3 linked regions of the Oryctolagus cuniculus genome follow. Each later gene encodes a partner of the first gene's protein in a complex. Links are inferred from orthologs where the notes say so. Each region holds a gene or a part of one and is shown on either strand. Other genes may lie near its edges.

Evidence for each region.
Region 2: the proteins of GDF11 (region 1) and FST are in contact, whole or in part, in a crystal structure (PDB 5JHW), measured with the Homo sapiens proteins. The link is inferred for Oryctolagus cuniculus from reciprocal best matches to the Homo sapiens genes GDF11 and FST. Residues at the interface, in NP_005802.1 of Homo sapiens: Asn299, Leu300, Gly301, Leu302, Glu310, Arg312, Asp328, Trp329, Ile331, Ala332, Lys334, Arg335, Tyr336, Lys337, Tyr347, Met348, Phe349, Met350, Pro354, His357, Gln361, Ile380, Asn381, Leu383, Phe385, Asp387, Lys388, Gln389, Gln390, Ile391; in NP_037541.1 of Homo sapiens: Leu34, Arg35, Gln43, Val44, Leu45, Tyr46, Lys47, Thr48, Arg60, Ser62, Asp72, Asn73, Leu75, Phe76, Met79, Ile80, Leu134, Asp135, Arg149, Gln153, Pro154, Glu155, Val180, Val181, Asp182, Gln183, Tyr188, Val190, Thr191, Asn193.
Region 3: the proteins of GDF11 (region 1) and TGFBR1 are in contact, whole or in part, in a crystal structure (PDB 6MAC), measured with the Homo sapiens proteins. The link is inferred for Oryctolagus cuniculus from reciprocal best matches to the Homo sapiens genes GDF11 and TGFBR1. Residues at the interface, in NP_005802.1 of Homo sapiens: Phe322, Ala324, Phe325, Gly326, Trp327, Trp329, Ile330, Met382, Tyr384, Phe385, Asn386, Asp387, Ile392, Ile396, Pro397, Met399; in NP_004603.1 of Homo sapiens: Ile78, Pro79, Asp81, Arg82, Phe84, Ala87, Pro88, Ser89, Ser90, Lys91.

What each region holds. Positions count from the first base shown.
Region 1 is NC_091442.1:58,574,557-58,578,552, reverse strand, and holds the end of GDF11 (growth/differentiation factor 11), read right to left. Parts: intron 3,916-3,996; coding exon 3,535-3,915; 3' UTR 664-3,534; downstream 1-663. UniProt on the Homo sapiens protein: Secreted signal that acts globally to regulate anterior/posterior axial patterning during development. May play critical roles in patterning both mesodermal and neural tissues. It is required for proper vertebral patterning and orofacial development.
Region 2 is NC_091445.1:74,276,646-74,281,253, reverse strand, and holds the start of FST (follistatin), read right to left. Parts: upstream 3,138-4,608; 5' UTR 2,749-3,137; coding exon 2,664-2,748; intron 882-2,663; coding exon 690-881; intron 287-689; coding exon 68-286; intron 1-67. UniProt on the Homo sapiens protein: Multifunctional regulatory protein whose primary function is to antagonize members of the transforming growth factor beta (TGF-beta) superfamily including activin, myostatin, GDF11 or bone morphogenetic proteins (BMPs).
Region 3 is NC_091432.1:202,740,486-202,745,233, reverse strand, and holds the start of TGFBR1 (TGF-beta receptor type-1), read right to left. Parts: upstream 2,985-4,748; 5' UTR 2,892-2,984; coding exon 2,804-2,891; intron 1-2,803. UniProt on the Homo sapiens protein: Transmembrane serine/threonine kinase forming with the TGF-beta type II serine/threonine kinase receptor, TGFBR2, the non-promiscuous receptor for the TGF-beta cytokines TGFB1, TGFB2 and TGFB3.

The sequences.
Region 1 (3,996 bases):
CACTTTTAGAATTGGTCTGGGGTAGGGTCAGTCTGTGGATATCACAGCCGGGGCAGGGAAGGTGTGGGGGCACACTGAACCCTTGCAAGGGCCCTGTGCTTTCTGGATCAGCTTGATGTCCTGGCAGCTTTCCTTTTTTTTTTTTTTAAATGTGAGGCAAAATTCTTTTGCTGCTAACTCTTATGCCCTGAGACTTGTGCTATAGGTGCAAGGGAGAAATATTTACATTGGACTCAAATATTTGAGATGCTTAATCACTCTTGTTCCACTGACAAACTGAATGGCTATGGTTTGGTTTGTGGGTTTTAGTGAAACTTGGTTGATGAAACCCAGGATCAAGGACGGCAGATGACAGACGAGCTGGGTCACCTCGAGAATTTTCCGCCTTGGCCATTCTGTGGAGGCTGAGAGTTTCTATCAGCTTTGGGACTGTTTGGGGTCAAACTCTAGAGAAGAGCTATTCTAGGTCCTCTGCCCATCTTCCCTGGGGCTGCATGTCCCCACCCTCTTCCCATATGCCCTTAGTGTTTCTTTGCTTGCTGTGCGGACCCCATCTTTTTAGTCCTTGAGTACAAGGTTTCCTCTTTCAGATCTTACTTGATGCCTGGTCTCCAAGGTACAAATGTGGCGCTTGATTAGGGAGAAGAGCTCAGTACTAAATTCTAAACTCTTTGACTGCTTTTATTTTTCTTTTTTCAGGTTCAAGTGCTGGATTGTGTCATGTGACTATCCCAAAACTCAGAGCACCCTATGGCCATCTTTGCCCTCTGTCACATAACTTGAAAACTGCCAGATGGCCTTTTTGCAATGGTTCCCTCCAGGAAGCCTTTATCTCAGTGAAGAAGTCCTTTTCCCGGCATTCCAGTGCCCCCGTCAGTCCCATTCTCTTCAGACACCCTTAACAAACAAAGGCAATCACGCACATGATGTAACAAATACACAAAGTGAATAATTACACTAATAATGATATGTTTGGAGAGGCACTGGCCAGGTCCACACACATAAGGTGAAAAGGGGTGCTAGCTCCCGCTGGGCTGTAAGGCCGTGCCAAGCCTCTTTACCCTATGCCTCTTTGGGTGTAGGGAAGGAATAGGGGAATGAGACTTCAGCTCATAGATATATGTTCATAAAAGAAACTCCCCCAAGGGTCTTTATTTGGTGGTATTAAAGGGGCAATGTTCTAAGTATCCCCCAAGTTCAATACCCTAGCTCTCTAGAATCTGTAGAGGGAAGTTACCTGGTGCCTGCTGCCCAACTCCCACCCCGTGCCAAGCACAAGAGGCATTTGAACTTGGAAGCGTCTTCTGTTCTTCACTTCTCTGTTCTTCTCCCTCCACCAAGGGAAAACGGTGTTGCTGGTCAGTGTGTGTTGTTCTCCAAGATCGGGGCAGAAGGGTGAGCAGGGCCAGAGAGGAGAAACTTGGGGTTAACATAGCTGCTGTATGGGAGGAGGTGAGTAGAAAAGCTTAACAGCTATCCGTTCCTCTGCTGGAAAACTTCACATCACTTTCTCACTGTGAGAATAGGAATAAGATGCTAAAGCTTACCATCTTGGCCAAGTGAGAGTCGTGCTCTTGGGAAGAACAAGCCTTCCAGGGACGCTTACCAGCTACAGGCTGTACTTCAGTTCAGTACTGTTTGTATCAGACCCATAACTGCTGGTCCTACTTAGAGTGACAGTCTTGTGGAAAGTTCTTCCCATCTCCTCCTGACAGCCTCTTGGTTCTCTCTTGGAGCCCAGAGGCTGGTGGTAAGGTGTGGATGCGGTGTGGAGATTCTCAGCTCCTCGGCTTCAGGCACTGTCCAGCTGGGAGGCAGAGGGGAACTTGCACTCTGAAGCCTGTGCTCCTCTAGCCTCATCTCTTCACCACTACTCTGGTGCCCTGGTTATCTGTCCCACAGCGAGAGGTATTTTATGTCCATAAAGTGCCCGTGGTAAGTGCTCAGAATTCATCTCTTGGCTGTGGCGGGTGCTGCTATTTCTCACTCCATTGAGGGGAAGAAGCTGAGGCACAGTGCGTCCAGAGGAGGGTGGTCAGGGTTGTGGGAGGAGCGAATGGGCTCAGCTAAGTGACTTGAAGTGGCAGCCGGTATCTGCCTGCTTCCTAGCCCTCCCGTCCTCTGCTCTAACTGGCCTTGTCAGGCACATTTCCCCACTGCGTGGTCCCTTCCCTGCTGCCAGGGACTGCTAGATTCCAAAAATAAAAGATAAAAATAATTATAGACACTCTGTTCTCTTGCTCTCCCTCTTTCCACCCTGAGCTTTGGGGTTGGGGGACTAAAATGCCCCCCGCTCCGGAATCCCTTCTACCTTGGTCTGCTGGCTCTGTTCCCTAGCCCAGAGCAGTGATTTGGATTCAGATGCCCTGCAACCTTCAGCCTCCATACTTTTGCCTTCTCGGCCCCTCTGAACCTTTGCTAGACCTGGGGGACTCTGGGGTCTTTATACCCTTTTTTTGTTTTTTTGACCTGAAAGTGGCGGCTGGGGCAGGGGCATTCCACAGGCTCTTTGGTCTCTCTTGGCTGAGGGGAATTTGGGCATAAGCAGGCGGCACCCTTTGGCTAAATAACACATGAGGGTGGGCCTAAGGGTTAGTTCAGTGGCTCTCATCATACTGATCCTGGATATCGAGGGCTCCCCCCACCCCAGCTCATAAACCCTAACCTTTTACTGTTTCTGTGACCAGTGGCTTCAGTTCAACCCGTTTGGCTCAGGAAGGTTGAGTTAGGGTGATTGCAGGTTAAAAACTTCCACGTGCCAGTCCTCCTGCCCTTTACTCCCACTCCCAACCCTGGAGGCTTTATACAAGTGCTTAAGCGGGTGGGTGTTAGGGGAGTGCAGGGTTCGGGAAATAAAGGAAAAATGGGGCACTGGGCAGGGGTCCTCCTATTCCAGTAAAGCCAAATACCAAAAGAAAAATGTAAAGTCATAATAAATAAATAAATAAATTCCCAAATCCTTAACTTTTGCCCCTGCCCTCACTTCCCTTCCCCTGGCCACTGATGAAGGGAAAGAAGGGAGAAGCTAAGAATGGATTTTTGATTTCCTCTCCTACTGAGTAGTTGGGGGATCTCCCCAGACCATACCAAGCCCCTCACCTTGCCAGTGGAAGGAAGGAGGCTCGGTGTGGGGCTTTCCTTTATTCCTCCGTTTCGGTCTCTCTCAGTGTTTGTCTCTGCCTAGTCTCTGTCTCTTCTGCCTCTCTATCCCTTTGCCTTCTCCCTGCGGCTCTTTTTGTTCCACCATCTCTATACCTGTCTCTTATACCTCTCTGTCTTCTTGCCAAACCTTCTCACCTGCAAACCTCAGACGCTCCCCACCCTGACCATGCCCTTCCTTCCCCTTTCCCCAGACCCCTCACCTCTCAATCCCCACCTGCCTCCCTCTGTTGTATTGCACACTGCTTGGTCAGGGAACAAGGTGTGATGTTCATGGGGAGAGGTGGAGGGAGCTGTAGGGCTTGGGGGGAATGGGGGCCAGGGCTGGGGGTCTCAGGGTAGGGTCTGTGGGGGAGGCATCCACTGTCCCCCACCTTAGGAGCAGCCACAGCGATCCACCACCATGCCAGGGATCTTGCCGTAGATAATCTGCTGCTTGTCATTGAAGTAGAGCATGTTGATTGGGGACATCTTGGTGGGGGTACAGCAGGGCCCAGCAGAGCCTCTTGGGTTGGCCTGTTGCACCAAATGGGTGTGCGGATACTTTTGCATGAACATGTACTCGCACTGGCCAGAGCAGTAGTTGGCCTTGTAGCGCTTAGGTGCGATGATCCAGTCCCAGCCGAAAGCCTCAAAGTCCACCGTGAGGGGGTATCGGCAGCAGCGGGACTCACTGGAGTGCTCATCACAGTCCAGGCCCAGGTTCCGCCGGGACCGTTTTGTGTTCTCTAGGACTCGAAGCTCCATGAAAGGGTGCTGAGGGTCAGGGAGAGGGGAAAGAGATGTGACACAGCCCTGAGCAGTTCCTCTGCCCTGTTCTTTTCCCGCCTGCCTCAA
Region 2 (4,608 bases), on another chromosome or scaffold:
GGTCTACAGTAGGTAGAGAGCTCCGAGGAGGGGAGCTGAGGGCTTGCTCAGGAAGGGCGGGACCTACTTTTACATTTGCCCTGGTACTGGACTTCCAGTTCCGGCTGCTCTTTGCACCTGGCCTTGAGGAGTGCACATTCGTTGCGGTAGGTTTTGCCGTCCATCCCGCAGACGGGACCCTTCCAGGTGATATTGGAACAATCTGGGGCACACACGCAGCGGGGTTTGTTCTTCTTGTTCATCCGGCATTTCTTCCCGGGGCCACAGTCCACGTTCTCACACGTTTCTATGGATTGGAAAGAGGTAGGGATTACAACCAGGGCCGGGCGGTCCGTAGGTCAGCCCGGAGGTCGTGCTGGTGCCTTGTGCAATCCTGTAGCTCTGAGTTTGTTCTCAGGAGCCCCCAGGCCCTCTTTTAGTGGGTTGGAGGGGGGCAGGGCCCCATACCCAAATCTGTCTCCACACGTGGCTCAGAAGTCCGGGGACCTCCGCGGACTCTGTTTTGCGAAGAGTTGTGACAGGCAGGAATGGCTCCCAATGGCGTCTCAGAGCTGGGCGTAGGAAGGAGGAGCCCACCCACACAGCTCTCTTGGTTCCAGTCCCCCCCCCCCCCCCCAGGTAGGTAGTGGGGAAGCCCAGGGTAAGACGCCCTCTGCTGAGGGCCTGAGGTTGGGGAGGAAGAGTCCCACCTTTACAGGGGATGCAGTTGGGGGCGCCCCCGTTGAAGATCATCCACTTGAAGAGCGTGTTGTCGTTCACGTCCTCCTCGGTCCACGAGGTGCTCAGGCGGCCCGTGCTGCAGCACTCCTCCTTGCTCAGCTCGGTCTTGTACAGGACCTGGCAGCGGCCGTTCTTGGCTTGGCGGAGCCAGCAGTTCCCAGCTGTGAAGAGTCGGGGGTGGGAGGTGGATGCGCCGGCGAGCGGCGGGGGACGAGGAGAGGGAGGCGGCGGGCGAGCGAGCACAGACGACACGGCGGGCGTGGGGAGGGGGTGAGCGTGGTGCAGGGAGGGCAGGGCGCGCGGCGGGGGAGACGCGCGGCAAATAAATAGGAGGGGGTGGAGGGGTTGGGAAGGAGGGGGGGAAGCCCTGATCCCAGAGGTGGGGGGCAGACGAGGGGAGGCAGGGCGAGGCAGAAGCCAGAGCGCCCCAGCCATATCAATGTCAGTTAACCAGTGACCCAGACACAACACGTGCAGCTTGCATTGACTTTTACTAGACTGTTTACTTTTATTCGTCCCATTTCATAACCTGCAGCGACTCGAAGGGCAGATTAAAGAACCTGACAAAAACAGGATGCGACGGATGTTTTTACATGTTGGTTTCATGTAGGCGGCACGGGAATTATTTGTGACAGGGGTTAAGAAAGTGAGAGAACGGGAGAGGAGAGGGAGAGAGAGGAGAAGGAGACACACACACACACACACACACACGCACGCACGCGCAGGAACAGATCAAGCAAAAAGGCACTTGCGAAAAATGAAAGCAAAAAAGCAATCCGGAGCTGCCCCGCGCGGCCTCGAGGCGCAGCCCGCCCGACGGGCCCGTTTTGCAATCCGCCGCCCCTGAGCACGCCCGCGGCCACCGGGAGCTTTCGAAATCTCCGAGGGCTGCTTTCCCTGGCGCCCACGTCCCTGGACGCGGGCAGCCGGGCGCAGGGCGGTGCAGACGGCGGGGTCGCTCACACCCTGGAAACGTTCACGCTCACGCGGGCAGGGCACCTCGGCCCGGGGCGAGCGTCCTGCCGGGTCCCGGCTCCGTACACCTAGCTCCCACCTAGCACGAAGAAACCTGTGCAAGGAATCTCTCCCCCTTCCCCTCTTTTAACACCCAGATTTGGTTCAGGAAGTAAGACTTTAACAATAACTGGACCACAGGCTGCTAGTATTATTTTAAAAATTCTGCCCAAGACTAATGGAAAGAAACAGCTATTTTTACAAGACAAACTTAAGAGATTTACTCTTGATACAGCTTAGCATTTAAATCAGTTGTGGGCTGCTCGCTGTTTTACAAAAAGTTAACAGTCCGAGGAATGAAGCAAAGAAGAGGGAAAAAAAAAAACTGTAAAGTAACTCACAACACTCCCGGGTAATAATTTGACTTTTTTTTTTTTTTTTGCGGGGTTGGGGGAGGGGGTTTGGAAGAAGCATCCATTAGGCAGAAAGCTACTTCCCTCGAAAATTTTCAGCACCCACATTTCCAAGTTTGGGCAAACTTTCTGAAACCACGTCCCCCAAGCCACCGGAGAAAATTCAGTGTCTCCGCAGCCCCAGGTCATTGTAAAAAGTCTCCAAAAGACGTGGGAGGCACAGAGGTTAGACTGCAAACCGGGCGGCCGAAATCCGCAGGCTACTACTGATGCTGGTCCCCAACCCCGGAGATACCATCTCAAGTCATCCCGGCCAGAACTCGGAGCATCTAACCCTAATACTGAGGCAGACTCCAGCCTGCTCCTTTTCCTTTTAAAGGAGAGCCGAGCTCCCAACTCCGCTGCCGGTCCCAAAGTGTCACTGCCTTGGTGTTTCCCCACTGCTCTCCATCGCGGAGTCGCTAACTTGGTCCAACATCTTCCAAGAGCAGCGTTGGGGCGAACAGACCACAGAAAAGTAGAGCCCCCTGCCCTCAGCCCAGCCTGCCCAGCGCATCCCCCCCTCCCCTCGCTTACCCTGGGCGCTGCGGTCCTCCATGAACTGGCAGAGCAGCAGCAGCAAGAGGCAAAGCCCGCCGGGCTGGTGCCTGGCGCGGACCATCCTGGGGGCAGGCGCGGGGCGAGGAGCGCGGCGGCGCGGGGAGCGGGCGCGGCGGCGGGGCGGCTGGTGCGAGCGGCGCGCGTCTCGGAGGCGAGCGGCGGAGGGCGCAGAGATCCGGGCGCAGCCCCGCGCTCACAGCCGGCCGCCCGCGCGATTCAATGGACGTCAGAAGCCGGGCGCAGCCGCGCTTTAAATCTAGACGGGGGTCTCCGCGGTTTGCGGTGGGCGGTCTCCCAGTGTGTGGGGCTGTGGGAGGGCGGCCTCGAGCGAGGGTGTGCGCGGCTCCTTGGGGGTGGGGAGCTTTTAAAAGTTCACTGTGAATCAGGTGACATTTCCCACCTTCTGGAAACCCTTCCCAGTTATCTGTCGGAGGTGCCCGAAATCAAAGCGGCAGGAGGGGAATCGCCGAGTTCTTATTTGCGTAGGAGCGGGAGGGAGGGGGCAGGCGGCCGGGGCGGGGGGTGGGGGCGACGCTCGGGGGTGGGGAGCGGGGAAGAACACCCACTTCATGTCCTGCACGCCGCCGCTTGCGGGCAGCGCGCCGCGCCCGGGGTGGCGTGTGTGCGTGCGTGCGTGTGTGTGTGTGTGTGTGTGTGCGGGTGTGCGCCGCGGGGCGCTGGAGCGGGCGGCGGGCCGAGCGGGGAAGCCGGCACTTGGTCTCCGCGCCGCTGCTTCTCCGCTCCTCGGCTCTGGCAAAAGACTTTGCAGACGCCGGGAGAGCCGCGGGCTGCTGGAGAGCCCTCGCTCGCTCAGGGTGGGGTCGGACCCTGCCAGCCTCCCGTACAGCCTGGGCGCGGGGGACCCGGCGGGAGGTTTTGTGTCTGGGTCTGTGCGTGCTGGACTTGGCGGCGGCGGCGGCTCTCGGCCCTGAGGGGTCGCTGGGAACCCCGGCCCCGGCACCTTCCACCCTGGCGGAGCAGCGCGGAGACGCAAGCCCCGGGTCTCCACGAGTAGCAAACAAAAATGTTTAACACCTCAGACACGGCCTCCCCCCCGGTGCAGTCTCGCCCTGTCCCTTTTCTTCTCTCTCCCCTTTCACTTCCCGGGCGTCTGGAGTCGGAGCCCCGAGCGGGGGCGCCGACGTAGGCGGTCTGCCCCCTCCTCCCCGCTCGGCGACTCCCCTAGTTTCTGTCCTGTGCGTCTCTGTCTCTCTCGTCTCCAGCTCGGCTCCAGACTCGATTCTCTCTCTCTCTCTCTCTCTCTCTCTCTCTCTCTCTCTTCTCTCTCTCTCTCTCTCCTCTCTCTCTCCCTCCCCCCCCCCCCGCGAATAAAAAAAGATTGCAACATCGATAATGAACTTCTGTAGCCTCAGTTTATTAAGTACAGTGCCTGGCATTCTTCACTGGAAGTTGGCGGGTCTCTCATTTATAACATTTTTGGCACCGCTGAATGAAACTGAGGAGGCGATATTTCCTTTTATATAAAGCGATTACTTCACGGAAAAGGCTATATTGTTTATTCCAAAGCTGCCTTTTAAATTGCTATTCATTTCGCTTCTCCAGCCCGTAGGACAACAGACAGCGAAGTATGCAGACAAAATTCTTGGACATTCGCAGGTCACTGGGATTTGTTCTACGGATTTCAAACCCGCCCCTCCTTCGCCCCCCTCCCCCAGTCCTCCCCAGGCCCTCCCACCCCCATCTTCCGTCACCCCCCTCCCACCCCCTCCACAACTGCAAATAACTCAGTGATAACAGATTTTTTTCCACCAACTGCAGGAGATAGTGCTAATCTTTTAATAAAAGATCCCATTACAATGGGATCTGTCTGGACAGACTATAATAGATCCCGAAGTACAGCCGTGCTAATATTAGAAGACAGTTGTTTGGGTGCCTCTCAGACGGGCCCGAGCCCCCCTTT
Region 3 (4,748 bases), on another chromosome or scaffold:
CTTTACCATAAGTTACAACTTTTCCTGATTACACATAGGAATCTAAGCTAATAATGCACAACTGTACTTACACACAACAGAATAAAAACTAATGGAATGTGTAGTCAAGTGGAACTCACTTAATCAACAAGTATTTGTGCAGAATAGAATATAAAACATAGCGCTAGGTGTTGAGATCATAAAAGAAATAGAAAGCAGAAGCCCTGTCCTCAGGGTGCCTGTACTGTCCCTGAGCACTACACGTAAGTACAGTTAAGTAACTGTAAGTGCTACACAGTCCAGGGACAGAGTTCAAGGAAAATTAAACTAGTACATTAAGTCAGGACCAGAAATTTGTGTCTCCACACCCGTCAAAAAGGGGCAAAATTAATTATGTATTGAAAAGGTTGAACCATCAGGAGTGTCAGTGGGAAAAAGGAAGTCATGGGAACCGAAGGTCTGCAGTAGTGAGAAGTGGGGTGGCTACTCAGAGATGGCCCAACTCAGAAGCCTCGAGCATCGTTCTTAGTGCACACACATGGGGCTCCGGTAAGCCCTGGTGAAGTGGCAGGGGAAGACTGGTTGAGCAGCAGCTCACAGGAAAGCCATGACAGAGGAACACTAGAAAGCAACCAGATTTGGAGATCACCGGCAGGACTAGGCTGACGGCTATCCACCAAGGAAGGAGGGGGTACTCGAGGCATCAGCACAAAGAGTCGGACTGTTTGCAAAGAAAAAAAGTCATGAAATTGCAGAAAGGAAGCAAAACAGCATTCTCGCGTGGGGTATAATGCAGGCACGGTGGAACTAAGCTGCACTAGGGACAAGGAATCAGCTCTAGAGAAATCCATGTTGGAGAGAGCAGAAGCTGGGCACAGAAATGCAAAACAGATCCCCAGACAATAAGGAAAAACCACCAGTCTTAAAAAGGGAAGCCAAAAAAAAAAAAAAAAAGAACTCTTGGGTTGCCTCAGAAAGCATGAAGGCACAGACGGAACCCGAACACACCTAAGCAGGGCGCCGGGAAAGTGGGGTGGTCTGGGCTGTGAGTAACCAGCATCCAGGCCAGCTCTGTATTGTATGTGTGCCCACACAGACAGTCAACTCCAGGGCACCACCCAGCAGCGTTCTGTCCCTCCAATTAAGTCGAGTATGTGCTACCCTAGGTGGAAAACAGTGACTGAACTACGTCACTCAAGTTAATAATGGTGTGGAAAGTTGCCTGCTTGATGCAGAACTGTATCAGTGTATCCCACCTGTCCACAGTTATCTTGCCTCCCTCCTGAGGCCAGGTCAAAACCCTCTGTTTCCTCTAATACAGGCCCATGGCAAGGGACTCAGGAATGTGTCAGGATGTAGAAAGAAGTCAACCTAACACTCAAATTGTGAGGCCAACATCTTAAGGGATGAATACCAACTGCTTGTTAGATGATGGAAAAAGAAAAAATGGGCTGTGCCAGATAGTTGGTGTATGGGTTTTGGAAACTGAGAGAGCTGACAGCAAATCCTAACCTCAGCACTTAGTAACTGGTCCTCACCTCTCTGCAGCTCAGCTTTCCCAACTACCAACGGGGCAAAGGCCAGCAGCCCTTAAGGGTTAGTGGCAGAGACTGGACAATACGCTTTGGCGTGCTTTTTGCATTTGCATCACAGTGGGCTCTTAATAGACAGTAGCTATTAGGATAGCTGGGCACCGGTCTTGAATTTGCTTTTGTTTAACACTTGTTCCATTTCGCTGCATTTTCACCCAAGTTCTCTATTTAGCTTCTATATTTTAGTTCAGTCTCTAACAGAGTTAGGCACTCCACCCTTCGCCAGGGTAGGCACCCACCACCTACTCCAACCTGGTTTAGCGACCAAAAAAGCTGGGCAAACAGTCTCACTTGAAAAGCGGCTACACAGACGTCTGATTCAAGCTGCTAACTGCCACTCAAGAAAAGGAACATCAGGAGCGACGCTCCTTCAAAGAAATAAAAGCGTTTCCATTCAAACACTCCCAACCCCGCGGAGTGAGCAAACGTGCAAGTTTCTACTACGAAAACAATCCGTAGCCTTCTGGCGGCTGGACTCGCTTCAACACTCCCAGACGCACGGAGAGGGAAACAATCCGCGCATCTCGTGCCGCCGCCGCCTCCTCAACACAAAGCTTCGCAGCTCCCCTTGCCAAGCCACCCCGGCCCGAGAGGCAGCCGCTCCCCGCAGGTCGGCTCGGGGTCGCGGCCGGCGCCAAAGCCCGCGCAGCCCTGCCGCCCCGGGGGTCTCCACCACGCGGCGGCCCCTCGCATCGCTCCGGAACGCCCTCGAGGCTCAGGGCTCACAGCCCGCCCGGGAAGCCTCCCCGGACCCCAACTCCGCCCCGGGACTCGGAAGAAGCCCCAGGCCCAGTCCTGCCTGGGGGCAGGGGTGCCCGGAATAAGGCCACGCAGTGACCTGGAGGACGCGCCGGGGCAGCCTGGCTCGGCCGGTCCGGTCCAGCCTCACCCTCCGCCCCTCGCCCACTCACGCCCCAGAGGGCAGCCCCCGACCTCGGACGGCTCCGCCTGACGCCGCCTCTCCTCCGGGGGCCCCCGGAACCCGGGCGGCCTTGGGTTGTCGGCCACGTCCACGCGCACTCGGACACACACCCCCGCCGCTCCTCCGCTGCCCGCCTCAGCTTCGCCTGGCGGCCACCAGCCCCTGAAAGCCCAGCCCGGGCCCCGGCGCCGCCACCTGCGCCCCCGGCCCCGCGCCATGTTTGAGAAAGAGCAGGAGCGAGCCAGAGGCCGGGCCCGGCCCGCGCGCCCCCGCGGCCGCCCGCCTGCCCGCCCGCCGCGCCGGGGCTCACCCGTTGCCCCCGGGAGCAGCGTCGCTGCCGCCGCCAACACGAACAGGAGCAGCCGCCGGGGACGCGGAGCAGCGGCCGCCGCCTCCATAGTCCCGCTGCCGCCGCCTGTGGCCCGGCCCGGCCCGGCCGCCGCCTCGCCTCAGCAAGCCTCGCCTCGCCCCACCTCCCCCGCCGCCGCGGCGGCCTCGCTCCGGCCCTTTGTAACTGCTCCGGGGACGCGCGCCCATTGGCTGCCGGGCCCCCGCCGGCCCCGCCTCCCCGCCGGCTGCGAGCGGCCCAGCGGGACCAGGCCGGGAGCCCCGCCTGCGGGCCCGCCAGGCGACCAATCCGGGGCAGCGGGCTCCGGCCTCCGGCCACGCCCCACACACTCCCCGGGGGCGGTGCCGCCAGACCCCTTCCCCAGCCGGAGCGAGCTCCGGGTTCCCGAGGCCGGGTGGGGGTTGGCTCTCCCGAGCCCCAGTGGGCGATGGGTGTGTCTGCTTCTGGCTAGCTTTCGAAAAAAGGCTGCGGCCGCTCGCCGCTCTTTTCTTCTGGCCTCCTCTTAGACACCAAAGAGCTGGTCCTGACCCAGCCCCACCCTGGCCCCCCCATCCACAGCCCTGCACCTGCAGTCGGTAACACAAGCCGCCCACATCCGCACTGTCGCGGAGCGCTTGCATCCACTTCAGCGTCCCCTCCCCAGACCCACGCCTCAAGTTTCAACATCACCTTTCTCAGTGCCCATCACATGCGACTCATCCTGCTCTTGGCGTACACCCCATACCTAGCCCCCTCCTCAAATTCCAGGCCCAGAAAGTTCTCAGATCTCAATCTTAGATCCCAGAGCCCGAATCCAGACACACACCTCAAATAGCCTCCCTCCAGATCACGCCCAGAACAGGGACCCAAGCCACTCTCCTACCCTCTTTTCGACTTCCTGATTCAGGTTGGAAAGGGAGAGCCTGCATCCCACCCTCCAAGGAAGGGAATCTCCGCTCTCAGCCCCAGCTCCTCCCGGGCGGAGGGGAGCAATCATCGTTACCTTGAGCTGTCTCTGATTCGCCTGTGTAATAATTCTGAGGTGTCACTGAAAACCCAAATAAACTCCACTACGTTTTCATTCTGAATTCCTAATTTACTGTGAGACGCTCCACCCACCTTCCCTCTGGGATGCCAAAACTAACTCCAGATTTGTAATTCTTCCTGTCAGACTAGTGCCTTCTTCAGACACAAACACAGCCAAGGAGGCTGTGTTACGCAGCACGGAGAACGATTCTCCGAAGGACCTTTTAAGGAGAAAATGTGAATTTTCTGAGCGATTGGAATTTGGAATTAAATAAAGCTTGGTAATCAGAATCAGAACCAGCCGTCTAGTTGGGATTTGCAAATTCCTTGAGAGCTAGTAGGTGAGAATGGTACCCGCCTGAGGAAGTTGGTGAGCTGTGAAGGGGAAGGATGGGGATGTGGGAGCTGGGATCTGAGACCCGCTGGGTTCCTGTCCCTGCAAGGACACTCTAGCAAGTCAGTGAATTCTGTTTGCTGGCTTGTGTTTGTCTATATTTGAAAGGCACAGAGACAGTGACACATACAGAGAGAGATCTCTCTAATGCTGGTTCAACAGCTGGGGCGGAGCCAGACAGAAGCCAGGAGCTGGGAATTCAGTGCGAGTCTCCCATGTGGGTGGCCGGCACCCGAGTACTTCCCAACATCACCTGCTGCCTTGCAGGGCACACATTAGTAGGAGGCTGGATAGGAAGCAGGGACTTGAACACAGGCATTCCCCTGTGGGATATAAGCGTCCCACGCATCAGCTCAACCACTGCACCTGCTGCACCCGCCCCAAAATGTTAAGCTTTCTGAGCTGCCCCCACAGACAGCCTGCTGTCTGGAACTCCAAGTCCACCAGCAGGATGCCATGTCTGCCGGAGGCCGAGCAGGTCCAGAGGGGCTGATGCTGGCAAGCTCC